Xenopus tropicalis: one gene and its partners. The protein of the gene in region 1 purifies or fractionates together with the protein of each later gene. This does not show direct contact. Links are inferred from orthologs where the notes say so. Each region holds a gene or a part of one and is shown on either strand. Other genes may lie near its edges.

Region 1 (2,167 bases):
TCTTCGATTTTCACCTGTTCTGTTGCTCCTGTTTCCATTCTTCTCAAACCAACAGATGTTTAAATAATGGGCCTTGATATTTGACATCCATTTTGTTGAGGCAAACTCTGAGGCATAACAGTGTTTTTAATTTTCTTTTACATCCATCCAGTGAATCACCTTACCCACCCTCTGTTATTAGATTGCTGTGATAAGTGCTTATGTTTATCTGCTTCTTAGCACACTGCCATTCATGTCATGGTTGCTGTTTGCTTGCTGTCTAAATTTCTACACCTCCCTGAAACACAGATTAAATCACAATTGTGTAGAACTGCATGCTGGAAAAAAAAATTTGAGTACCATTAATAAAGCTAACCTGACAACAGAGTTGTAGTTCACCAAAACCTAAAGGTCGGAGGTGGGATGTATGCACTGTTGGGTTCCCACTTTTATGGGTTTATTTATCAATTTCTGAGTTTGTGAATTGGAGTTTTTTTTTCTAATTCGAATAAACTCGTAAATTCAAGTGTTTGCTTATTTATTAACATGAAAAACTCTACTACTATCAAGGCAGTAGGTAGGAATTTGTAGGTTTACAAACTCAGAGAAAAAGCTTAAACTCAAATCGAAAATATGTCTTGACTTTGCCTAGGACAACTCTCATTGGCTTCTACATAAACTCGCAAGCTTTTAGATGCCGAAGTTTTACATTTGAGTTTTTTTTTGCACTTAACCATAATTTGAATTTTGCGAGTTTTAGCGCTAAAAAACCTAAGCACTCTAACCACCCCTAGTGTCTAAATAACATTTAATTCAACTCTCTATATGAAAGTATAATTTATACGGCAAACAAAAGGGAACCAATAGTCAACGTTATCTTAAATCTAGTGCATTCTCATGGAAGATAGTAAATATTTCTCCTCATTAAACAGGACATAACTCTGTAATACTCCTGTTTTCATTGTCAGATGCTCTGTGTATTCCTGACTGGCATGGCTTTCTGTACAGCAATGATGTGGGACAGGAAAAGCAAGGCAGCTCCTTTCAATCAGTTGTTGGTCCACCAGGAAAGCAGGCCCAACCCTGGCTCACTTATAGACCCCTACAGGAAAATAAAACAATCATTCTAAGGGTTATAATAAATTTTTGTACCCCTTCATTCCTAAAGGCCCCCAGTCATAATCTCATTAGCTGATGCTTCACAGCTGCCTCTCTATGCCAAGCTTTTTGTAATGTTAAATGATTCTACTGGCTGAGTGTAGCAATAACCACATACTGCAGAGGCAATCACCCTAGTGTGGCTAACTGGATGGCATTTTGTCTTGGGTCCTTTACCAGAGTTCTGGAAGTTTTGGGTTCTGCGCAGTTTTAAGCACTGCACTCTTCCGGACAGAATTCTCTGATATTGTTTCTGGGATCGGTTGGAGCCATTCTCCTTACTTAGGCGTCACAGTCCTGAGTGCTACCACAGGGACTACATTCAAGTTGTGTGTCAACCCTTAATCTATCATTTTTATCAGTACAAGTTTGGACATGCCTTATGTAGATTATATAAAGTTGTCATGTACCCTTTCCTAGCTAACTAGGGAACAACTTTATGGTAGCCAGCTGCTGAAGCACCACCAGTGCAAAAGGAGAATGTCCTCTCAGTAGCGATGCAGGACAAAATTAATAGAAATCCCAACTAAAACAGATAGGAACCAACTGAATTTCTTACCACCAATGTGTAGGGTGCCTCTTTGCGAGGAGTCTCCTCTGCAACCGCCGTTGACGAGGAGGCTTCTGCTGAGCTGGGTCCGGTTGGAGATGTGTCTATAAAGGTCTCATCCACCATTCGGAATCTGATATCCTCACCCACATCCATGTACAGGTCATGAGCACCCTCCTCTGTCTCATATTCCCATACCCATACCTGTTCGGCCTCATCACTGAGAGCAAAAATTGTCAAGGAAATGTTGATAGGAAATATACACACTTACTAAACAGACTAAAGGAATCTCACAGCTACTACTTCTGCTACATGAGGGGCCATAACAGTTGTCCCTGTTACCACAAAAGATACAATTTTGCTGGTTGCTGCAAGGACTCCGGAGGTATAACAATATCATCAAAGAAGCCTAGGGAAACTGTGGGAGGAATTAAGAATCATGTATTATCTGCAAGATTAAGGAGCTGAACAAGACATGTC
Region 2 (4,085 bases), on another chromosome or scaffold:
GAGAATGCTGGGGGGAGCTAGAGAATGCTGGGGGGAGCTAGAGAATGCTGGGGGGAGCTAGAGAATGCTGGGGGGGAGCTGGAGCATGCTGGGGGGGAGCTGGAGCATGCTGGGGGGGAGCTGGAGGATGCTGGTGGGGGGAGCTGGAGGATGCTGGTGGGGGGAGCTGGAGGATGCTGGTGGGGGGAGCTGGAGGATGCTGGTGGGGGGAGCTGGAGGATGCTGGTGGGGGAGCTGGAGGATGCTGGTGGGGGGAGCTGGAGAATGCTGGTGGGGGGAGCTGGAGAATGCTGGTGGGGGGAGCTGGAGAATGCTGGGGGGGGAGCTGGAGAATGCTGGGGGGGGAGCTGGAGAATGCTGGGGTGGGCAGCTGCAGGATGCTGGGGAGTGTATGGGGATGCTGGGGAGTGTATTCCATACTTGATTATCAATAGGTATCAAAAGATATTTGTGCTGTTTCCATACAGGCAACGAGCAATCTTGTTGGTAAAAATTGTTGATAAAAAGAATATCCTAGAACTGCTCTCTGGTATTACATGTTCTGGCCTAAAGTCATTCTACTGAAATGGATTGTAAAAATGTTCAAACTTTTTAATGTTTAACCCTATATGGCATTTGTCACAGTAAAGAAGCCTTTGATTTATCTATTCTGCAGTGTATAACTATTGGGAACATACAGAGGGGCAACATCAAATATTTATGACATGCAAGGGGCTAAATTCAAAATGATAATGCAAGTAATATTAGGCAATAATAAAGTTAAAACGTTGTCACTACTGCCATTATTGTTTTTGTAGTTTTGGTGATTTACTTCTGTATTTCCTAGCTTGCAAAATGAACTGCCCCTCAGTATCTCAATCTAAACAAGGGGCCATATAGCCATAGTTTTAACATACATTATGTAAGACAAAAAGAAAACAAATATAAAAGAACTTACAGTTGCCAGCAGTCGGTTGATGCACATGGCCCTTTGTTTGGCTTCAATGTGAGGCATCTCATTTTGAATAACTTGGTCAGTGATACCATGAGGAAACTGCTGGCACAGCTCAATAACCCTAAATATATAGAAAAAAATACCATTAAAGAACTAGAAAAAGCTTAAGTGTAACTGTGTTAAGTGTTTATGAGACTGTTGACTTTCTCTAACATTTTATTTGTAATAATTTTGGCCCCTGATGTTAGTGGAAGGAATGCACAACACATGCAGAATATTTAGATCATGTCCAGTATGAAAGAACTGCTACCCCTTATGTGAGCCAACAACTGCAAGAAACAAACGGCTGGAACGGAGTATTATGTGACTAAAAATCACACTAACAACAAAGAGGATGTTTAAAGAACCGAAGCCATTGCTGCTTTTTTTTTTTTTGGACAGCTGTAATAACAGCCACCCTCCATTGGTAGACAGATGTTGGATGTTTTTTGGTACTACATGCTGTACTACATACACCAGAGGCAGTCTACAGGTCCGGACTAAGATTCAAAAGAGGAATTTCATGTACAAAGGCCCAAACAGCCCCCCACAGGTGCAATACATAGTGACGTTCTATGGCATCTTGCAGCAGCCACTCTGGCATTGGCCAGAATCCATAGACTGTCAGACCGGGCCTGGCATAAACACACTTGTTTTTTTTTTAATTCGGTGTAACTTTATCATAACCACATATTTTTATTGTCCCTTTTTACTATAAGACAGTCCTTAAAAGTTTCCTTTAAGGGGCAGTATATTTCTTTTTACCATGAGCTAAACAATAAATATAGTTTTTCCAAGTAATGTATGGCTTTTAGTTATTTCTTGCACTAAACAAAGACACTGACAGCTTAAATTTTCTAGTTTCCTGGTTCTGCCAAATCATCATTTGTGGTAAAACAAATCAACAGTATACAGATAAGCACTGGCTGCTCCTAATCACAAAGTCTAACAAAGGCTACATCTTAGGAGAGAGTGGATTTGCTTTATACACAGCTCATTATTCTCATTTAAACAATAGTGGGGAAAAACAAAACACTTTTATTTTAGTGCTTTATAACTACAAAACATTTGATAAATGTTAAAAATATGGATTTTTAAACTAAAATAAAAAAAGATTACATTCTCAACACAAGACTTATTTAGTATGCTGATGTTTAGCAAAAGTGTCTATAGGCATACACTGGCCTCTACAGTTTTAGGTTTCCTGCAGATAAAAACCCCACATCTTTTAGCAAATGTGTTCATGTCTCATCAGTCAGCCACAGTGTAGGTGTAGTCATGTCCTTTAGATAAGGTATAGCTGAGATTGCCATGAAGCTTTTCAAAATACTAGTAGGGTTCTAATGCCTGGTCTGGGACCACAGCTCTGAAGAAAGGCTGGATATAACCTGGGACAGACATTGAGCAAGTCAATGCGTGACAGCAAGTGACACAACTAATAAATAACTTTAGTTTTCTGCTATAACTGTAAGCATATGCTGCCAATATGATTATATTGATCAATGTGTCTTTCTAATGCAAGGGACTTTCATTTAAACCTTATGTAATTGAAAAAAGTAAACCAACATAGCCAAAACGCCAAAGACATACTCCGCTTTGCACCGCTTACCTGTTCTCTATCTCCGCTGCCTCCCCACCTTCTTGCTTCACCTTCGCTTCTGACATGTTTATTTGAGTCCCTATCCTTTGCCCACGTGTCCCCCTTAACGACTGTCGCCCCAACACCCCCAGTTCAGGTAGCACTAGCGCTGCAGCTCGATCAGCAGAAAGTATCGGCAGCCATTTTGCTTTCGGGCAAAAGGGAGCGTTTGGAACGGAACAACTTCCGAGCGGACAATATATTTTCAAATCAAAGGTACTACGTCTTTTAACTAAAGGACTTCGCGATTTACGTTGTCGCTAACCAAACATTTTCACGCTTTACAATTTCCAAATACAGCAAGTCGTCTGTGTAGCATTTGCTGCGGAAATACGTCATGCATAGGAGCATGCGCTTTGAGAGTGTGAAGAAATATGGGCGATGGTTTATTAGCGTCATCTTCGCATCTTTAGTTGCTAGGCAGCCAGACTTGACCAATGAAAAGGGCAGACACCGTCAGGAAGCAGGTTTTTACTACACCGCGTCTCTAGTAACGGGAGGTGGGACAAAGGCTGCGCCGGGGTCCACAGTGGGATATTTTATCAAGGTAAGTCAGGGTGCTATCAATTTAGACTAATGAAGAGTCTGTAGGTTACTGCTCGCCATAGATAGTGCTCTGCAGCTTGCGAACTTATGCTTTTCGAACTCAATGCTATGTGATTCGATGAAGCCCATTAACTTCTAGTTACATGTTTTTCAGTGGCTGAAATATTTTTATATTTTATACGTTTTTATAAAGCGGGACTGGTGTAGCATGTACAGTACATGTATGTAAGCTCATCTCATGCACCAGATTGTCTGGGAGAATTATAGCCTCAGAATCATTTTATGGCTGTTTGACTAATTAAAAGTTTTGCTAAGTACAAATGCTGACAGGACAAATACAATAAATCATTTAATCAATTTCTAATGTATTCATTTGAACTGCAGAAAGTTGGGTACAGTGGCCAACAAATGGTGACAATGTCCCTTAGTGCAATGTTTTTGGTCAAGAGACAGTAGCGTACCTTGAGTGGTCTGGCCCCACCCCCACAAAAAAAATATCTTCGGAGGGGCCCGGCATGCACGCTTAAGCTCAAATGAGAGCCAGCAAAGTGGACATTTAGAAGTGACTATGGATGGCAAACTACACACAGTGGACCTCATGGCCCAGCTTCCGCCCCCCATGGTCATGGGGTCTGCTGTATAGGTAGTTATGCCACTGTCAAGAGTATTTGGCCTTATTGAGTCAACTGCCCATGTACATGTAGGGACCCATAGGGTTAAATGGTCCCTATGGCTTTAAATCCCTACAGGTTCAGTTCCCTTAGTTGCTGGGCAGAAGGGAATGTATCTAAGTGAGTTCATTAACATGTGTGCTATTGGTCAGAAGGTATAGTGACCACATCCTGCCTGACTTTGGTATAGTGTTGGGAGAGGAGTGGCACCTTCCTGTTGTTTGCTTCCACCTTAGGGACAAAGTGGATGTGTGCT
Region 3 (4,267 bases), on another chromosome or scaffold:
GGGACCCCAGGGGCCCACCGGAAAACCTTAGACCAGTGATCCCCAACCAGTGGCTCGTGAGCAACATGTTGCTCCCAACCATCTCTGATGTTGCTCCCAGTGGCCTCAAAGTAGGTGCCTGTTATTACATTTGTAGCATAGAGACTAGTTTTGAAAATACAGAGGCATCATTTTAATCCACTTCATCGGAGTGTGGCTCACAAGTAAAAAAGGTTGGGGATCCCTGCCTTAGACTATAGGCCCACTCTCCGAACTATTTTTTCTCACCCACCCTCTTTATTCTCCTAGTCTTTTTTATTTACACTATTTCTCCTCTCTGTTCCCATTCAGAAATAGGGAATGGCCATGAAGCAGGCCAAATGGTCAGGAGCAGGAGGGCCCACCGACACCTGGGCCCACCGGGAGTTTTCCTGGTATCCTGGGGGGCCAGTCCGACTGCCTGGGCTGCTGCACTTTTTGAAAAAGAGAAACACCATTCCTGTGTAGCAAGTAAGGGACTAGCACAGTGATCCCATTTAATGTTACTCCCTGAGGCCTTAATGCAGGCACTTATTTTTGAATTCCTGGCTTGGAGGCAAAAAATGAAAGTGTATAAAAATAATTACAATATAATGAACTGTTGCCCTGCACTGGTACAGCTGGTGTGTTTGCCTCAGAAAGTCTATAGTTTATATAAACAAAGGTGCTGTGTAGCCATGGGGGCAGCCATTCAAAGGAGAAAAGGCACAGGCACATAGCAGATAACAGATAAAACCCCATTATATTCTACAGAGCTTATCTGTTATCTGCTATGTAACCTGTGCCTTTTCTCCTTTTTCAAGGTTGAATGGCTGCCCCCATGGCTACACAGCAGCTTATTATATATAAATTATAGTAGAGTTACTGTAGCAAACACACAACTTTACCTGTGCAGGGCAACAGTACATTATATTTTAAATACTTTAATACACTTTCATTTTTGGCGTTACTGTTCCTTTAACCGCGCTGCCAACCTACAGGCATTAGTGACAGGGAGGAATGCAGAGTGGAAATTGTTTTCTCAATACGCCAGTATTTGGCACAATCTCTGAGGTTTTTCAAGTTTGTTTTGTTCCCCAACTCATTTTAAAGTTACTAACAGGTAAAAAAGTTAGGGTATCCCTACACTAGAACCACTTTGCTGTGTTCTCCAACTTGCCCCCCCCAAAACCCCCTATGGTTTTGCGCCAGAGTTTGGGTAAACTTAGCACAATCATTCCACAACTTTTTTTAACCATTGATGACAGTCGTCGTAGTGTTAATCAATATTTTACTATCCATGTGATCTCACAGCGCTGCCCAAAACTATATATATATATATTCCCTTCAGCACTAGGGAGGCACTCCGCAGCTCAGTGACGCCTCTGGCCCCGCCCATTCCGGAAGTCGCTGCGCTGCTTGGCGTTGTTGCCATCTCGCCAGTGTATTTCCGGGTTCCTTTGCTGCAGAGCAGAAATGCAGGAAGACGAATTGGAACGGTACGAAGTATATGCGAAATAGAAATAAAATTGCATGCTGCTGCTTGTGAGCTGTCTATGTTTTACCCCAGTGAACGCTTTATAGTGCAGAGACTGCTTGGGTAGTGGGTGAAGGATAAATAATAATATATACATGAATTGTTATGGGACAGCTGTTGCTGGGGAAGTGGGGACTGATTGGGTGCAGTTACTTTTGGGTCCTTGTTAGGAATACATAGGGGGAGATTTACTAATCCACGAATCCGAAACCGGAATGGCAAAAATTCAGATTGGAAAGAAAATTTTGCCGTCTTTTCGTCGCCGCCGCAACTTTTTCGTATTTGTCGCGACTTTTTCGTCGCCGACACGACATTATCGTATTTTGCGCAACTATTTCGTCGCCGTTGCAATTTTTTCGTATTGAGCGATTGTAAACGGCGGAAAAACCAATCCGATTTTTTCGCGACGGCGACGAAAAAGTTGCAGAAAATATACGAAAAAGTCGCAAAAATACCGATCATTGCGAAAAAAACGCATGCGGATGCCTTCGGACCGTTCGTGGATTAGTAAATCTGCCCCATAGTGTTGATCCGTAGGCTATAGAGAGCTCTTACTGGTACTGAAAGCCAGCTGGCCAGACTGTGGTTCATGTATATCACTGAAAGGCAACCAATAGCCCTTTTTGTATTGTGGAATTACAGCTTCCAGGGTTGGTTGTTGCAGTGGGAGTTAAAGTTAAACTACATCAATAAAGCAGCAATTAGAGATGTGATTTTGGTTTTCACTTTTTTGTAAAAAAAAAAAAAAATACTGGCCTTTCTATGTAATTATCTTTCTTCCCTATTAATAACATTGACATCAAGCATTATTTTGACCGGCTGGGTTGGTATAATACCAAGCAGCCATAGATGGAATTAGGATTGTGCACATTTACATGTCTCTGGGAAGCACTGTGCATGGTTCAGGATTTGTAGGTCCCATAGATTTTGCTTAGAACACTCTCAGCCCACTTATAATAAAATAGTAAACCAATAAAAGCAGTTTGGTCATGCAGTTTTTGGTGCCGTTGCCATATTAATACATATTCAGTGTACTTGCCTGGAGACCAAAAGAAGAGACTGCTAGTTGGAGGCAGATTTGTTGAAATAATGGAATTTTTAAAAAAAAAACGTAAAGTATACTAATGTTTAATAATGTTAATAGGCCTTATTTCATGCGTTTGATACATTTTTTGTCCTCTTTAAATTGGTGTAAAAGAACTTTCCCCCCAAAACATGTGTGTAGATTTTTATTTATGTAGCAATACTTATATATGTTGGGCTGTACAGCCGATATTGTTAATGCTAATTTCTTGCTCTTTTATGCCGATGCAGGAAAGCTGTAGAAGAGCTTCTCAAAGAAGCAAAACGTGGCAAGATCCGAGCTGAAACTATGGGACCAATGGGCTGGTAAGTGGTTTCTTTATACAATTTTTAATGATATATGTGCGTGTAACACTATTGTATGGTTAGTAACTGTGTTCATATTAAAAATACTGGTGTGTTTATAAAACTTGAAAAAACTGTTCTCTTCCTTTAAAAAAGGAAATGGGTAGTCAATGGAGGGAGGTGCAAACCCCTCATACAGTTATTATAATCATCATTATTATTTTCACTTAAAATACACTGGCCCTGTGTACTATTCTTGTGAGGCCTGTCCTGTGCCTATGTGCAGCATAGTAAAATGTGTAATTCAATGTGAAATGACAGGTAGGCTTCTCTTGCACTTAAACACAGAGTAGGGCCACTGCAAAGATTCAGAGAACAGCAATAAGATGACTGCATGGCGCTAATAAGGATAATACCCCAAGCCAGTCATAGGTAAGTGATTATAATCTAGGAATCCCAAACCCGAAATATGCTAATTAGGAAGAGAAAGGGGGAAAAATTGCAGCGTGCGCAGCAAAAAATTTTTCCCCCTACCATATAATCCTTACAAACATGGGCGTCCGCAGAAAATTTTCCAAGGGGGGGCAAGTAAGCTAGCATCATCCTGCAACAGACAAATATATATATATATATATATTTAAAAATATATATTTTTTTTTTGCAGGATGATACTAGGGGAGGCTAAAGATGGCCCATACACAGTCCGACCTACAGCTAATGTGACACTTAGTGGATTCGCTGCTGGCGTAAAAAGTTAACCTCCCAACTACCTCTTGCCGTTCCCACTGACTACCAGGGATACTGTACAAAAGTGCGGGTGGGGGTGCTTTTTTTTTTTTACCCTAAAATGTTTAGGATGTAAAAGTATTCATACGCGCACGCGGGATCTGCAAACATTTGTGTTTGTGATCAGTTAGCTTAAAGGGGTAGTTCGCATTCAATTCACTTTTATTTTTAATGGTTTTTCAGTTATTTAGCTTTTTGTTCAGCAGCTCTCCATTTGGTATTTCAGCAGCTATCTGGTTGCTAGGGTCTTATTTACCCTAGCAACCAGGTAGTGGTTTAAACAAGAGATGGGAATATGAATAGTTAAGGGGCCTACTTAGAAAAATAAGTAATACAAAATTATAATAATAATAAAATTGTAGCCTCACAGAGCAATATTTTTTGGCCCCCATTTGAAATCTGTATAGAGGCAGAAGAGAAAGGCAAATTATTCAAAAAAATTAATTAGAAAGACCAATTGCAAAGTTGCTAGGAATAGGCCATTTTATAACATACTAAAGGTTAACTTAAAAGTGAACCACCCCTTTAGATGTGTTTATGTTAGTTTTATAGCAAGAAAGGCAGTGGGTACTGACTCCC
Region 4 (4,056 bases), on another chromosome or scaffold:
ATGTCGCAAGATCCAGGAGAGTTTGCGAGGGCCTGCATTGGACCTAATTAAGCTCCAACGAGAGGTGTGCCCACAAGATGGTCCTGAGAAGTTGATAGACGTACTGGAAGATACATATGGACCGGTGGAAGATGAAATTGAAATGTTGTACAAATTTCAGTCTTGCATGCAGAAAGAAAAAGAGAATCTGTCTGAGTACTTGAAGCGACTGCAGCAAATGCTAAAATTACTTGTTTGCCGAAGAATCATTGCTACAGATCGTGTTGATTCTATGAGGCTACAACAGTTATTCAGAGGGGCTTTATCTATGGACCCCACAGCTGTGATGTTGAGATCTTTCTACAGAGGAAAGAAAGAACCAACTTATCAGGAGCTGATCCGTGAGATCCGAAAGGAGGAAGTTAATGTTCTGCGACGAGAGAAGAAAAGACGTGGTTCTGAAAGGACATCCAGTGATTCGCAGAAAGCGGAAGAGATTGCCGAGTTAAAAAAACAGGTTGCTCAGCTCAAGGCTCGTGTGTCCGAAAAGGAAGAGGGGTCAACTATGTCTAGACCCTCTTCATTTCCTAAAGCAGGTGGTGCTCGCGGTGACCCACCAAAGTGCTTCCGTTGTGGCCGGTTGGGCCATATATCCCCACACTGTCCGACGCAACGTGAAAATGCTGCAGCTACAGAAGTTATTTCATATGGCTGTGCTGTGAGGAAGCCACCCCAAAAGAGGTATCGGAAGAGACGTAATCAGGTGAGGTGTTACACCTGTGGTTGGTACGGTCATACTTCCCACACCTGTGACTGGGGACGGAATGAAGACTTCACTGATGTATATGTGACATCTTTCCCATGTGAAGTGAATATTTGTGAAGAGAAATCCTGTGGCACGAGGATGGTCTCTGAGCACTCTGGCACCCCCAATAAAAGTAAGAGACTGGGCCTGGGAATGCGTAGACCTTCAGGCAGGGGAAGTGTCAGGGCAGTTAGTGAGGAAGCTTTCCCCTGTGTATCTCCCCCAAAGGTTAGGGAGAATAAGAATGGTGAGAAAGGGCAAGCGAGGACGTTGCCCATTCAAGCAGGGGGAGAATGTAGGGAGGTAGTGCTGGGTCCCTGCACTTACCCCCCTCCTGCTGCTGTTCCCTGTAGGGGAGCTGGCACTGAGACTTTGTGCTGTGAGCTGCTGCCTAGCAACAAGGTGAACAGCAAGCTCAGGGCTGCCGGAAGTTGCAAAGCAGCCTGGGAGAGGAAGTCAGTGGGAGGAGAGAAAAAGCCCCAGAACTCCAGAAGCTGCACGTGGGCTCAGAGAGAGGAGCAGCACAAGAAGAAGCTGGCCTTTGGAACAGGCTGGTACAGGGAAGGCAGACCCTGTACCTGGAGAGACAGAGATCCTGTGAGGAGTCCTGACTGGAGGAACAAACACCTGCAGGGGAATCCCATCTGAGTAGCTAAAGGGGCTAGTAGTCGCACTGCATGGCTGTGAGTGCTGGACTCGCCTGAAGATTCTGTGTGAATCACCCAAAGAGATTCCTGGAGTGAGTATCATTAAAGTGAAAGTAATAAAGGAGCGCTTGAAGATTTAAACTATATAAACTGTTTCTTTTGGGACTGAGCTAAAGGACTGTACATAGTTAGTGAGACAGCTTGCGCTGGCAAAGCTAGTTAGTAAGGCCCTTATTGCCACTTGGATAGGAGTGTTATCTGTATTAGTTTCCCCTTTATTTCAGATAAAAGTTATTTCGTTTATCAAGTACTGTGTGTGCATTATTATTGTTCCTAGTGGGGCCACCCGTAGGTGCACTCCAGGATCCCACTAGGTGGAGGCACTGCGCTAATAAGTACCAGGTACCCAGTCTCTCCCAATACCACTGCGGAGTGATTCAGGTTTGTCCCGTGCCATCAGGTAAGCGCCACTCGTGGAGTGTAACACTGTCAAAGGTGCCAGAAGTGGTGAAGATAGGGTTACAGTATTTCCCCTTAAAGTTTGTCAAATAAGTATCTAGCGGTCAGAACTCCCTATGTATTAATATATATTCAAATGTATTTATTTAGATATTATTTATGAAAGTGTTAGGACACATTTTATAATATATATTTATGATATTAGTGTGCTTTAGCAAGGTAATGCACTTCCACAGGGGAAGTGATTGTGCTGTGGTGTTCTGGGTATTGTGAATTTAGGGTTAAAAGTGTGCCCTTCTATGATGATTTGTTCCCAGAAGGGTAATAGCCAAAAAGGAAGAAAAGCAAGACCTTGGCCACAAACTAGCAAAAATCAGACAAAAAAAAAAATCACAGGTCATATGCGTATATTCAAATGTTCATTTTGGGGGGTGGGGGTAGCAGGTGTATCTATTTACTATGCATTTTATTTAGTATTTATCATAAAACATAAATGATAAGATCACCTTTTTAACTTTGTAAGTCTATTAAACTTACACAATTTAGAGCTAAAAGCCCCAGCCATTACCAGAATATGTTGTTAGCAATTTATACAGATTCATCCCGCACTTAAAAATCAGCGCATTGTACTGTTGCTAATGTAATGTTATCTGCCAATTAGCAATGCTTGGCATACACAAGGCATAAAAAGGCTTCGTAGCCACCAGGACTACACTTACGCCGCTTAAAACCATATTTCTATCACTTCAGAAGACCTCATTATACCTTGCGATTAACGTTGTGCACATAAGGGCAGGTATTACAGGCAAACCTGTAGCACTTCTGTCCCTCCTCCACGATCAGCACATTCCCACACGTCGGGCAAAATAGCAACATTGCTGCTAACAGATTAGCTCAAACTTCGCATCAACCACTTCATCCTCCAGACGCCAGTACCGCTGCCTAAGCAGAATGATCACCACGCGTTTGCCCTAGCCTCGCATTCACCTACATTACATCTTATTGCGCACGTTTCCGCCCGGTGATGACGTCTTTAATGGGCGCCCTAGAAATCTGCGACAGTTCCATTTGTAACTTGAATGAAACGGTGTGAACTAAAGGTGGGTAGTGGAAATTGCGTTGAAAAACTTAACTCGAAATTCTAAATTTCTACATTTAAGTCCAGCTCCCAAAAACTGATAACACGAGAAGAGCAATTTTTGCAAAGCAAAAGCAGAACTAGAAGTCTTGCAGCCATTTAAGTTGAAAAGGAGAAAAGGCACAGGTTTGGATATCATATAACATATATGCTCTGTAATAAAATGCAGTGGTGGTATATTCGTGTTAATCTGGTATCTGCTGTGTATCCTGTGCCTTTCTCCTTTTTTTATCTTGAAGTGCTTCCTCCATGGCTGCATAGAAGCTTGTTTATATAAACTATTTATATTCTTATTTATATACGGCTGATGCCGCATGGAAACCCGCATGCAGATAATCAGTCCCTCCGCTGACAGCCTCCTACCTTGCCTGCACCAGAAACTATTGGGCTGGCCTGGGTGCAGGCACACATGGCAGATATCAGCAAAGAAACTGTAAATTTAGCATTTTAGAGTGGATATTCATATTGTATGCTTGCACCTGGGCCAACGCAGTGGTTTGACCTGGAAAAGTAGGAGGCTGATGCCCAAGGAACTGATTCTTGGCCTGTGGTTTTTCATGTGCTGAGAATCAACCCCACATGGTATAAGCATTACAGTACTTATGTACGAAGCACTGTACAGCAGAGCATCTAATTGATAGAACCAGGGCCACCATCAGAAATCGCGTTCTTATAGTAAAACGGTGGTGTGTATTTCTTTTTCTCAGGCTTTGACCAGTCTCTCCTATATACAGTCCTCCTGTTCAGTATCTAGTGCACTGTATTAAGTACACCATATTGGAAGAAGAACAGTTGTACTGACCATGGATGTTGTATTCCTCTAATGTGTCTGAAATCTGAATTACAGATGTGTGGGCAGGTTTTGCATTGTTTTTTTGCCACAGGGATAAGTTCCTTTTTTGTTGGGTTGAATTAAGGCACTTCTTGTTATTAGTTGTTTTAGGTTTGGGGGCTGCCTGAATGCCAGAAGTGGTGGGTCTGGGAATATGTTTTGGAGCCTCTCATCCTTTTGAGGTGTACACTGTAGA
Region 5 (3,973 bases), on another chromosome or scaffold:
AAATGGTACGGTCCGACCCCCCCCGCTCTTAAAAATGGTACAGTCCGAACCCCCCCGCTCTTAAAAATGGTACGGTCCGACCCCCCCGCTCTTAAAAATGGTACGGTCCACCCCCCCCCACTCAAAAATGGTACAGTCCGAACCACCCCCGCTCTTAAAAATGGTACGGTCCATCCCCCTCACTCAAAAAATGGTACGGTCCGAACCCCCCCCCGCTCTTAAAAATGGTACGGTCATCCCCCCCCACTCAAAAAATGGTACGGTCCGAACCCCCCCCCGCTCTTAAAAATGGTACGGTCCATCCCCCCCCCACTCAAAAATGGTACGGTCCATCCCCCCCCCCACTCAAAAAATGGTACGGTCCGACCCCCCCCCCCCCGCTTTTAAAAATGGTACGGTCCACCCCCCCCCTCAAAAAATGGTACGGTCCGACCCCCCCGCTCTTAAAAATGGTACAGTCCGAACCCCCCCCCCCGCTCTTAAAAATGGTACGGTCCGACCCCCCCGCTCTTAAAAATGGTACGGTCCATCCCCCCCCCCACTCAAAAAATGGTACAGTCCGAACCCCCCCGCTCTTAAACATGGTACGGTCCGACCCCCCCCGCTCTTAAAAATGGTACGGTCCATCACCCCCCCGCTCTTAAAAATGGTACGGTCCGACCCCCCTCCCACTCAAAAAATGGTACAGTCCGAACCCCCCCCCCCACTCTTAAAAATGGTACGGTCCGACCCCCCACTCTTAAAAATGGTACGTTCATCCCCCCACTCGAAAAAAATGGTACGGACCGAAACCCCCCCCGCTCTTAAAAATGGTACGGTCCATCCCCCCCACTCAAAAAATGGTACGGTCCGACTCCCCCCCCCACCCAAAATAAAATGGTACGGTCCTATCCCCCCATAAAAATTGGTGCGGTCCGACCCCCGCTCTTAAAAATGGTACGGTCCGACTGGTACGTCCATCCCCCCCCACTCGAAAAAAATTGGTACGGTCCCCTCCCCCTCTAAAAATGGTATGGCCCGACTCCCCGCTCTAAAAAATGGTACGGTCCGACCCCCCCGCTCTTGAAAATGGTACGGTCCGTCCCCATCCCCTCTAAAAAATGGTACGGTCCTACCCCTCCAAAATAAAATGGTACGGTCCGACCTCCCCCGCTCTTAAAATTGGTATGGTCCGACCCCCCCTCCAAAAATGTCACGGTCCATCCCTCCCTCTCAAAAAAATGGTACGTCCAACCCCGCCCCCCTCCAAAAAATGGTACAGTCCGACCCCCATTCCAAAAAATTTTGGTTGGACCGTACCATTTTTTTGGAGGGGGGTCAGCCCGCACCATTTTATTTGAAGGGGGGGGTCGGACCGTACCATTTTTTTGGGGGGGAGATCGGACCGTACCATTTTTTTGGAGAGGGTGTCGGACCGTACCACTTTTTTCCGACGGGGGATCAGGCCGTACCATGCTATTTTTTTGAAGGGGGGATCAGACCGTACCATTTTTTGGAGGGGGGTTGGACCGTACCATTTGTTTCGAGGGGGGGGTTGGACCGTACCATTTTTTGGAGGGGGCGGACCGTACCATTTGATTTGAGGGGGGGTCAGACCGTACCATTTGATTTGATGGGTCGGCCGTACCATTTTTTTTGAGATGTTTCACCTCACTGTGTTAAGGCGCTATGACCCTATAAAAATTAGGTATGCCCAAATTGCAGCCCTCCAGCTTTTGTTCATCAACATAGCTTTCCCTTTAAAATTATATACTTTTTTTAGTGAAGCTCAGGTGTATTCTTACAACATTCTCATTAAAATAATTGATAGCAATGAATTACACCTGCTGGGGTTTGCACCAATTACAGCACACTAAGATGCCTACTTATTATGCTGTGCAAAAATGGCAGCAAAATTCGTCATTCATTGCGAGGCTTCGCTGTGTAAAAAACAATGTAATTACGTAGCTTGCATAGAATAATGGCATAAAGTCTGGCTTTCAGATGGTGACATTTGCCATTTTACTCAGCACACTAAATAGGCCCCCAGGTACAGCTGCTATAATCACCTGAAAGTCATCAGCTGACATTGAATGTTCTAGTTGAACAAAACTAGAAGGGCCACAGGCAACACTGTAAATGTAAAAACTAAGAATGTATATAAGAATATACATTTTTAATGATTGTTATTTGTACTTCTACAAAGGACATGATGAGGACTAGAAGCTCTCTATGTCCTGCCCTAAAGCATTCCCTGTCATGCCCCAACCACACCCAGCTAAGAGCACTAAGAGTTGCAGCTTCCAGCAGCTGAAGGACCCCAAGTTGAACAATAAAATATTAAAAGGCATTTATTTTCATAGGCCCACTTTAGGCAAACAAGCTTAACTCATTATTAAATAATACATTCAAAAACATTTCAACATTCAGCTTCAGTAGAAGTCAATAAATGCAAGCCCCAATATGCCAATCTGTGCCAATGCTGCTAAATATCATTGATCCAACTGTAACTGATTTTATAATGGCCTAAAATGTGCTTATATCTGTGCTTTAACACATCTTACATTTGGGTGTTTTCATAGATTAATAGAATTATAGACATGATATTAAATTCATATACTTAAGCGAATCATTTTACCTTCAGTCTGATATAATTTCTCGCTGATGAATCAAACATAGAACTCGGCTGATTCACCAAATCTGCGTTACAATGACATTCACAAGTAAATCCTGGTGCAGTAGGGATAAGCCAGTGGGGGCAGTGCTTGTCAGCAAGTCCTAACGAGCATCAGGCAGTGTAACTGATTCTAAACTAATTAGGTTCTGCTCAGCAGTAAAACTATATAGGGTAGAGCTTCCCTTTGTTAGTGTTCAGGCTTACTAAACACAACATGAAGCACAGCCCTTTCAGTGGAAAGGCGCTGTACATTGATCATTATGTGTTCTTAAAGGGGAACACAAAACTAATGTACTGGCAACTATCAGCAGTTAGCTCTAATCATGCATTACACAGCCACCATCAGTGAGGTGCAACTGCTGGAGCCCAGAAAATAAATATTATACAATATGTCTGTTCAGAGAAGATAAATTTGGCATTTGTCTAAATATCAAATGTTTTTCTTTTTATGCCACACTGTTTTTATTTTCTTTTAAAAAGTTGGAGTAAATTACTTTTTGCCAGTTTAACTACTAATCTTTCTAAATTTGACATAGTTGTCTTCGTCAAAATGCTGTCAAAGGGCATGTTCAGCTTTTGCAAAGTAGTGTAAATAGTAGCCTCTGGGAAGAGTCTGTGATATATTGAATATAGTAGGTAGGGAAGGGACTGTGGCTGTGGGATAGCAGGTATAGTAGGGGGAGATGGTACCTATAGTAGCAGTGGGGGGATAATAGCCTCTGGGAAGGGACTGTGGCTGTGGGATAGCAGGTATAGTAGGGGGAGATGGTACCTATAGTAGCAGTGGGGGGATAATAGCCTCTGGGAAGGGATTGTGGCGGTGGGATAGCAGGTATAGTAGGGAGAGATGGTGCCTATAGTAGCAGTGGGGGATAATAGCCTCTGGGAAGGGACTGTGGCTGTGGGATAGCAGGTATAGTAGGGAGAGATGGTGCCTATAGTAGCAGTGGGGGGATAATAGCCTCTGGGAAGGGACTGTGGCTGTGGGATAGCAGGTATAGTAGGGAGAGATGGTGCCTATAGTAGCAGTGGGGGATAATACCCTTTGGGAAGGGACTGTGGCTGTGGGATAGCAGGTATAGTAGGGAGAGATGGTGCCTATAGTAGCAGTGGGGGGATAATAGCCTCTGGGAAGGGACTGTGGCTGTGGGATAGCAGGTATAGTAGGGAGAGATGGTGCCTATAGTAGCAGGGGGATAATAGCCTCTGGGAAGGGACTGTGGCTGTGGGATAGCAGGTATAGTAGGGAGAGATGGTGCCTATAGTAGCAGTGGGGGGATAATAGCCTCTGGGAAGGGACTGTGCCTGTAGGATAGC
Region 6 (4,143 bases), about 1.8 Mb from region 1:
TCATCCTTCTTGCATGCGTAGTAGAGTGAAAAGCCAAACTTTAACGCATGCATGGGCCCCAGGATTACTGCAAAAGGAGAAGGAAGGAAGATAATTGCTCGCCTGCATTTACCCGAGTCAGTGCAGGAGTACCGGTTGGGGGTATCAGGTAAGCAATTACAATTACTGGGGGCTGCCTAACATGTGGCACCCCCTAGTGATTTAGCTGTTCCTTCTCATTTAAAGTGATATTTAGGAACAGGCTCTTATTGTAACAATGAAGGTGTGTTCACATTAGTCCACATGGAAAGTGCTGGGTGAAATGTGCTCTTTCCATCACATATAATCTTTTACTTACGCTATTTGCAGGGCACGAGTTCCCAGCACACGGGCCCGCTCATATTTTGTCATGTAATTGGTGGTGATGCGTTTCTGGTTGGCCTGCTGGCCTTCCCCAGCTGGAAGAATTGCCACATTCTCCTGGTCTTCCTGCAATACAAAACCCACCAATTGTTACATAGAGACCACAAAGGAAAACTTCTGGTTGTAGTCCATTGAATGTCTGTGTCTTCTAGTTCTACTTTACCCACATTAACAGTAAGATATTAGAACACAAATTTTGTATTAACAAAACATATACATATATATATATATGAAACACCTAGAAGTTTCCATTTTGCGCTGAGCTTTTTAGTATAAATAATTATTTGGACTATTGCAATTTCAGTAAAGAAAAACCAGGCTGTTGTGGAACAAAAGAACACCACCTACCTCTTCTGCATTGTCCAAATCATCAAGTCCCTCATCCTCTTCGACATCATCAAAATCATCTCCATCAAAGCTGCACACCAAAACAAATACATAAGTGAACAACTCTTGGCATAATTTCCTCCCTTCTGTACTACATTGTCAGGGTTTGGTGCTTAAAATAGACTTTGAGTTGATAATGATAACTGATACTTACTGTATCATCCATGGTAGCCAGTCCTGTAACTTGCAATAAAATACATGGGACTGTATATTTTTCTAGAATGTTGATAAATAATCAATGTAATAAAATGCAAAGTAGAACTTTTCAATGTGACTGCTGTTAGGAAATAAGGCCTTGTACAGGTTGTGTCCTACTGTAACTATGGAAAAGGCCTCTGCTGGGGAAATACACCATAAACTCTGGTCATTTGGACTTAAATTCACCAAAAAACAGGGGGGAGGGAGAGGAATGGACAAATACCTTATAGATTATTAAAAATAAAAGAGTGATATGCAACACTGCTATAAATTATCTTAAATATATCACCAAAGTCAATTGTTTTAATCAAATTTAGTCACTGTCACAGTAGCATCCAAAACAGAAAATAGAGCCCCCTCCATTATACAATGACCACTCTGTTAGAAAGAAATCTGGGCACAGAGTTCTAACAGCGACCCCTTGTGCTTTTTTTCTTCTGGTCAAATTACAAGCAACAGCCATGACTATGATATGTGAGCATCAGCCCTTGTAAGTAGGGAGTACTGGCCTGGGTACAGTTTCGTAGAGCTTTATCTGAATAAAAGGTCTGTTAAATGTTGCCCTCTTATATTTCAATGTACATAAAAGTGCTGCTGCTATTTAACAGATCAAAAATATTTATTTGTTATATTACCTATGGTGCCATCAAGAAAAAATGCCGGGACAGAGGTGATACCAGTTTGCAGGGATATATGTATTTGACACACATATGGGCACATACAAACAGGTTGCTCTTTGCTCATTCCCTATATATATATATATATATATATATATATATATATATATATATATATATATATATATATATATATATATAAAAATTTTTTTTTTTTTTTTATATTACTGGGATGTCAGATGAAGTTATTATCAATATGGCACCATGAGATTGGAACCTGCTCCTGTTCCTACACACCTGATTGCCATTCTGCCTCATGGCTCCAAAAGCAGTGTGATAATTAGGAGTACATTTAAATAAAACAGTATTTGATGTATGAGAAGCAACGCAGAGAGTGGCTGGGCCATAGAACTGAGACATATACATGGTGCCAAGGGGCAGAAATACTCAGCTGTAACTCCTCACAGAAAGATCAGCATTTTAGTGAATCATTCTGGTGCAATGGCTGCTACATATCTGCCCTGCAGCGTCTCCCCACCTGTATGAAAGCGAATTTACTATTATAGTCTGGAAATAGATATTCTTGATTCTGGCATAAACATCCTTGGGGTTCATTTACTAATAGTGGGCAAATTAGCAGCTGGTAAGTAACCCATGGCGACCATTTGCTGTCATTATTGTAACTGCTGATGGCAGAACATAATCACTGACCTGCTGGATTAGCGCCTAGGTACCAACTTGCCCCCCGTTAGTAAATGAGTGTGCTTATAATTCAGTACAGGGAATAACACCGTTATGCAGCTTTGTGGGTTCATGACCTGGAAAATTTGTCCATAAACAATGAGATTTCATGACTAAACTCGGCAGTATATTATATATTATAAACAATTACACCGCCCTCTTGTAATCGGGGGCCAGTGTTCCCTTACAGTGTTAGTACCGGGCGGAAGGAGATGAAGGGACACTGTATGAGCCATTCCCACATGGCACTAGCAGCTAGGAAGCCCCCAGCCCGTACCGTCGGCCTGCCCAGTGAATATCACCGCCCCACCCTTTATTATAGTAACAATACAAAGCGACTCACTTGTCCTCGTTGTCCGACATGGCAGCGGCTCTAGGTACCGAGCAGAACCTACTCGCTTTTCCCACACACACACTGGGATAAGTTCGTTGCGGCGTCACGAACGGCCACAGACAGGAAGCGGAAACGTTAAACCCTCAACTTCCTTCCTTGTACGGTTCCCATGGAGACAGGACGCGACTTGCGAGAGCGTTTCGTGTTCGTTATACAGACTGACCGGTGCTGGCTGGCGTGCTGACAGCTTATTAAGGTTAGAGATGGTTTGTATAGATATACACATAGGCAATAATGAATACTATGGTTAGTGCAAGAATAAACATTTAATGTTGTTTGCATTTGGGGTATGTTGACTGTAGCATGGGTATATATGTAGCTGAGGGACAGGATAGTGTAGTTATACTAGTATGGAATAGCCCCACCTAATGGTCATTAATGTGACTATATACTTTATAAGCAGAATCGTGGGCTTCTGCTTAGCTTTTCATGCCTGGCACTCCCATGGTTAATGGTGAGAAATCACTAACATAGTTTTTCTGTTATACATGTAGGGGTTTACCAAAAATGGGCCCTTAGGATAGACACCCCTAGGATAGGCCACAGGGTGGTGATCAGGGACATTGGGATGACTGGGTGCTAAATAGTTAACAGGGAGTATACCTGTAGTTAGGGTTATGGCCACAGGGTGGTGCATAGGCCCATATAAGGGGTTGCAGCCATGTGCTGAGTGGCAGACATTTTGGGGGCTGCTCCAGGCAGGAGTACCCCAGGTACAGTTTAGATAGAAGTTTGGTAATAGATCACTCCAGGAGTGATATGTAGGACACCATAGGTTAAAATGGGCAGACATGACCCCTCCAGGAGTGGTAGTGAGGTTAAGACCTCCCAGCGTTACATCTGCTGGAGTGCAGGGCCACAAGTGGCTAGGGAAGGTGCACCAGGTCACCACTAGTCCAGGAGCTTGGATTTGAGGATGCTTAGTGTGAGTACCGGTGTGGGTCCCTGTGGTGAGGCTTCTAGCGTGAGTACCGGGGAGGGCTCCAGGAGGGGGTGCCTCATGACGCGAGTACCGGGAAGGTCACCTAGAGGGGAGCACGTGGCGTGAGTACCGTGGAGTAGTCCAACAGAAAGAGTCTCAATGAGTAGTAAGGGGATATGCCCTGCACACTGTATCAATAATATGTGCCACTCCTGGAGAGGAATCTGCCTAATATACCGTTGCACCGTTGTCTGCTGTGAGTATCTGCCAAGCCCAGAGGACCACTACCAAGCTGGTAAGGAATAACTCCAAGAGGGAGTGTATTACACCAGGAGTACGTGGGTCCCAAGAGGGGCATAGCAACCTATTAAGTTCCCAGGGGGTGGATTATAGTTACACAACACCATCCCTGGGTGGAGGCACACCATTTAAGGGAGAAATCCCTGTTAACCCCCATAGTAAGCGGGGGCTCAGGACTCCTG
Region 7 (4,046 bases), on another chromosome or scaffold:
TATTACACATATAACAGTATAACAGTACACAATAGATCACTATATAACTGTCTACTGAATAATTTTACATAGCACATGCAAATGTTTGTTCTTAATTGTGCATTTTAAGCCATTTATAGCTTTTATTACATTTCCCCACAAGCACTGCAATTACAATGTGATAATAATGAATACACATAATCTACCACAAACATGTTTAAATATTCCGTTTTACCAACCTCATAATTGCTCAGGAGCGCTGCATTTGCATCTTTTCTAAAAAAAAAGGGAAGGAAAAGTAATTCACCATAAGGCAAAACAAATAAACAATTCTATATGTCATTTGTTTAATCAATCATTATGGCTGGATCATTTGTACAAGGCCAACAAATGCCTATAAAACTCTTATTTAGCAACAGAAAGGTATTGAGCTTGTTTGTGATTCATAGGTCCATTTTCATTCAACTCTGTGAGCACTGAATTTAACTAACCAATAAATGGACCTCAAGCAAATAATTGCTGAGATCAGAGTTTAACCAGACGATAGCACTAGCCACAGAAAGACCTTTGGGATACAGTTTCCTTAGGTTGGTTGCTGTGAGTTACTAGACCCAAAGTTAACGCTATTACATAGTTACCATAGGTAAGATTTTTTTGGCACATCATTTGTCCTTAATTTTCTAATAAGGCCCTCTTCTATTTACATGCCAGTCTGACTTCCTAACTGCTGCTTGGCTGGTAGGGTTATTGAATTATAGCAACAAAATAGTAGTTAAAATTCCAAATCTGAGACCTGCAGAATAAAAAAGTAAAATAATAAAAAAACATAAAAAGACAAAATGCAAACTGTCTTAGAATACTGCTAACTACATCACACTCGAAGTCAAGTTGAATGCTTAATAAAATGCCCACAAAAGACACTTTGTCAGCTTCTGCTTATTTGATCTACTCTGAAGGTCTCTCAAAATCAGGTGTCTGAAAGTGCATCTATTTAAAGGAGAAGAAAAGGTAAAAACTAAGTAAGCTTTATCAGAAAAGTATGTAAATACGGCCATAAGCACTTACAGAAAAGCTGCACCGAGTCCTCTATCAAAAAAACACATGATTTCTTGTCACCGTTTTTGTAAACATGTTCTTGGGTATCTGACTAACTCTCCTAGTCCTAGAACACTATATTTATTCTGCAGAAAGCTTTACTATACTTGAGTAAAGAGCCCTAGAATCTCCCTGCGATTGTTTAAGATTGCAGCTACCATTTTATCTTGGTCTTCCTAGATTAAGCTACCAGCCTCTAGAACTGCAGCAGGAAACTAGGAAGACCAAGCTAAAATGGTAGCTGCAATCTTAAACAATCGCATGGAGATTTTAGGGCTCTTTACTCAAGTAAATCTTTCTGCAGAATAAATATAGTGTTCTAGGTGGCCCTAATGTGACAAATATATTGGCAGTAAAATGCCAAAATAACTATCCTTCTCCTTTAAATGCTTGCTGAATACATCAGAACACATATGTTATGCATGTAAGTGCATAAAAATGCTGAATGCTGTCTGGAAAAATGCAGTCAAATGTGGCACTACTTAAACGCAGATATGAAGGCTTGTTGTTACAACCAGACAGAATAATGTGGAACCAATTAAGTCACAACCTAGGTACACTCTCTAAGCCAGTGATCCCCAAACAGTGGCTCGGGGGCAACATGTTGCTCACCAACCCCTTGGATGTTGCTCTCAGTGCCCCCAAACCAGGTAGTTATTTTTGAATTCCTGACTTGGGGGCAAGTTTTGATTCAATAAAAACAAGATTTCCTACCAAATAAAGCCCCCTGTAAGCTGATAGGGCGCATAGAGGCTGCCAAATAGCCAATCTTCACCCTTATTTGGCACCTCCATGAACTTTTATGGTGCTTGTGTTGCTCTCCAAGTCTTTTTACATTTGACTGTGGCTCACAAGTAAGAAAGGTGGGGGACCCCTGCTCTAAGCTGTGTCTCATACGCACATCAAAAGCATGAATAAAGGGAAGGTTCACCCAATACACAAAAACCCAATTGAATAAAGTATAAGGTCAGCTTTGTCTACTATCTTGCCTTCAACAACATACTGCATGTTATTAATTAGTACTTTTCTTATTGTGTTCTCTTCTCTCAGTTTGGGTGCTCAGAAAGCAAAGGGAGAGGTAGGGCTTCAATTCCCCAGAGAAAAAGAATCACATGACTGCACACTTCCATGAAAACAACAATAATCTGACATTGCACAAACCTGGCACTGCCCCCATAAGATTATGTAGGCGGCATCAGCCAGAAGCATGCAGGGGTCGGCAACCCTCTCTGCATGCAGGGGTTAGCTTGCATTTTTGTTAATATTGGAGGTTATGTTAGAGATATGTTTAGAAATGTGCAATCTTTACATAGACGGTAGTTTGTGCAAAGGTAAGCGTTTCTTTAAAAGAAAATGCTTATAAGCCCCCTGTAAATATCACCTGATATAAACCTTTACTCTGTTCCACTATATATGTAATTGTAAAGTACTTACTGTCAATCAGCAAAACACATAAAAACACACATCGAAACCACATACAGCTAAGCACGTATACAATCCGGAAGTTTTGGAATGATTTCTCAGGTAACACCATGCTGCTGCCTACCCAGCTTTCACTCGCACACGTTCATTAGCAGCTCGAAAGCAAATGGCAGAAAACTCTTAAATATTTCGAAGCGTTTTAAAACAGACACATTTATAAATAACATTTCTTACACTTCCATGCTGTTTTTCACGTTGGTCAATTAAAAGCCGAGCGAAAAGTCGAGCAGCTGATGATGTCACGCCACGTGACCCTTTCAGGAACCAAACGGAGGCTGCGGAACCGCTGAAACAGGAAGTGGAAGAGTTCACCCTCCTGAAACACGTGTAGGATTCAACTTCGTTTTTGCAAGCGTTATTTGTATTCAAGTGTATGATGCGTCCCTGAGTGCTTTGAACGTCCCAAACTAAGGCAGTCTCCCAGTAGAATGAAACCTCACCAGGCTGAATATAGATAGTAATGGTGTAGTTCTTCAACCACTTTTCCTACTTCTTTTTGTACCCAGTGTGATTTCTGAAAGAACAATAACATTTTTTTTCCAAACCAATTAATAATAACAATAGTTTCTCTAACAGAATCCTGCATTAAAATCCATTTTTCAAAAACACATTTATTTTTTTAATTTCATACAGGGCTAGGAATATTCTTAATTTCCCAGGGTGCCACAGCCATGTAACGTGCACTCTGGTAAACTTCATCCACATTTTACTGCTAAGCTACAAGCTTTGGTGATTTCAACCCCCTCAGCCGCACCTCACATTATTGCTAATTGAAAACTTTTCCCAATACCCCGCCGTGATGACTTGAAATATAGTCAGCACTGGCAATTTCTGACAGTCTCTCAGGAGACTGATGTGCTTGGTTAAAAGGCAGATGTTGGCTCGCTTGCCTGGTGTTGCGCTGGAGAAGGGTGCTTTGGTTACGGCGCGACGGGAAGGCGGCCCTTTGAAAGGGCTTCGTTAGCATATGGATTCCCACAATCCATTGCATCGGCTGGGCAGCCGTAGCCACACTTGAAAGAAGCCCGTCCCACAAGGGGCCCCTTAACTTAGGCAGGGGCCCAATCAGCTTTGCGCAGTGGCAGTATTATAGCCAATGAGGTCAAACCGAGGCGTGATTATTGCTAATTGAAAACTTTTCCCAATACCCCGCCGTGATGACTTGAAATATAGTCAGCACTGGCAATTTTTGACAGTCTCTCAGGAGACTGATGTGCTTGGTTAAAAGGCAGATGTTGGCTCGCTTGCCTGGTGTTGCGCTGGAGAAGGGTGCTTTGGTTACGGCGCGACGGGAAGGCGGCCCTTGGAAAGGGCTTTGTTAGCATATGGATTCCCACAATCCATTGCATCGGCTGGGCAGCCGTAGCCACACTTGAAAGAAGCCCGTCCCACAAGGGGCCCCTTAACTTAGGCAGGGGCCCAATCAGCTTTGCGCAGTGGCAGTATCATAGCCAATGAGGTCAAACTGAGGCGTGATTATTGCTAATTGA

What was found.
Region 2: the proteins of polr3h (region 1) and polr3f purify together in Homo sapiens (affinity purification with mass spectrometry; 4 studies listed by BioGRID and IntAct, with this or other methods). This does not show direct contact. The link is inferred for Xenopus tropicalis from reciprocal best matches to the Homo sapiens genes POLR3H and POLR3F.
Region 3: the proteins of polr3h (region 1) and uncharacterized protein LOC496835 purify together in Homo sapiens (affinity purification with mass spectrometry; 6 studies listed by BioGRID and IntAct, with this or other methods). This does not show direct contact. The link is inferred for Xenopus tropicalis from reciprocal best matches to the Homo sapiens genes POLR3H and POLR1D.
Region 4: the proteins of polr3h (region 1) and polr3k purify together in Homo sapiens (affinity purification with mass spectrometry; 3 studies listed by BioGRID and IntAct, with this or other methods). This does not show direct contact. The link is inferred for Xenopus tropicalis from reciprocal best matches to the Homo sapiens genes POLR3H and POLR3K.
Region 5: the proteins of polr3h (region 1) and polr3g purify together in Homo sapiens (affinity purification with mass spectrometry; 5 studies listed by BioGRID and IntAct, with this or other methods). This does not show direct contact. The link is inferred for Xenopus tropicalis from reciprocal best matches to the Homo sapiens genes POLR3H and POLR3G.
Region 6: the proteins of polr3h (region 1) and polr2f purify together in Homo sapiens (affinity purification with mass spectrometry; 4 studies listed by BioGRID and IntAct, with this or other methods). This does not show direct contact. The link is inferred for Xenopus tropicalis from reciprocal best matches to the Homo sapiens genes POLR3H and POLR2F.
Region 7: the proteins of polr3h (region 1) and crcp purify together in Homo sapiens (affinity purification with mass spectrometry; 4 studies listed by BioGRID and IntAct, with this or other methods). This does not show direct contact. The link is inferred for Xenopus tropicalis from reciprocal best matches to the Homo sapiens genes POLR3H and CRCP.

What each region holds. Positions count from the first base shown.
Region 1 is NC_030680.2:120,321,876-120,324,042, reverse strand, and holds the end of polr3h (DNA-directed RNA polymerase III subunit RPC8), read right to left. Parts: intron 2,106-2,167; coding exon 2,042-2,105; intron 1,908-2,041; coding exon 1,697-1,907; intron 1,082-1,696; coding exon 1,028-1,081; 3' UTR 501-1,027; downstream 1-500.
Region 2 is NC_030681.2:38,387,732-38,391,816, reverse strand, and holds the start of polr3f (DNA-directed RNA polymerase III subunit RPC6), read right to left. Parts: upstream 2,801-4,085; 5' UTR 2,639-2,800; coding exon 2,583-2,638; intron 1,056-2,582; coding exon 938-1,055; intron 1-937. UniProt on the Homo sapiens protein: DNA-dependent RNA polymerase catalyzes the transcription of DNA into RNA using the four ribonucleoside triphosphates as substrates.
Region 3 is NC_030678.2:155,277,705-155,281,971, reverse strand, and holds the start of uncharacterized protein LOC496835, read left to right. Parts: upstream 1-1,467; 5' UTR 1,468-1,473; coding exon 1,474-1,496; intron 1,497-2,848; coding exon 2,849-2,923; intron 2,924-4,267.
Region 4 is NC_030685.2:40,341,144-40,345,199, reverse strand, and holds the start of polr3k (DNA-directed RNA polymerase III subunit RPC10), read right to left. Parts: upstream 2,801-4,056; 5' UTR 2,767-2,800; coding exon 2,656-2,766; intron 1-2,655. Other genes in the region: snrnp25 (U11/U12 small nuclear ribonucleoprotein 25 kDa protein), read left to right, coding at 2,970-2,990. UniProt on the Homo sapiens protein: Core component of RNA polymerase III (Pol III) which synthesizes small non-coding RNAs using the four ribonucleoside triphosphates as substrates. Can mediate Pol I proofreading of the nascent RNA transcript.
Region 5 is NC_030677.2:178,954,538-178,958,510, forward strand, and holds the start of polr3g (DNA-directed RNA polymerase III subunit RPC7), read right to left. Parts: upstream 2,801-3,973; 5' UTR 2,618-2,800; intron 1-2,617. UniProt on the Homo sapiens protein: DNA-dependent RNA polymerase catalyzes the transcription of DNA into RNA using the four ribonucleoside triphosphates as substrates.
Region 6 is NC_030680.2:122,152,786-122,156,928, reverse strand, and holds the start of polr2f (DNA-directed RNA polymerases I, II, and III subunit RPABC2), read right to left. Parts: upstream 2,801-4,143; 5' UTR 2,709-2,800; coding exon 2,689-2,708; intron 821-2,688; coding exon 751-820; intron 469-750; coding exon 338-468; intron 1-337. UniProt on the Homo sapiens protein: DNA-dependent RNA polymerase catalyzes the transcription of DNA into RNA using the four ribonucleoside triphosphates as substrates.
Region 7 is NC_030678.2:97,817,164-97,821,209, forward strand, and holds the start of crcp (DNA-directed RNA polymerase III subunit RPC9), read right to left. Parts: upstream 2,801-4,046; 5' UTR 2,739-2,800; coding exon 2,731-2,738; intron 2,707-2,730; exon of another isoform or gene 2,509-2,706; intron 256-2,508; coding exon 219-255; intron 1-218. UniProt on the Homo sapiens protein: DNA-dependent RNA polymerase catalyzes the transcription of DNA into RNA using the four ribonucleoside triphosphates as substrates.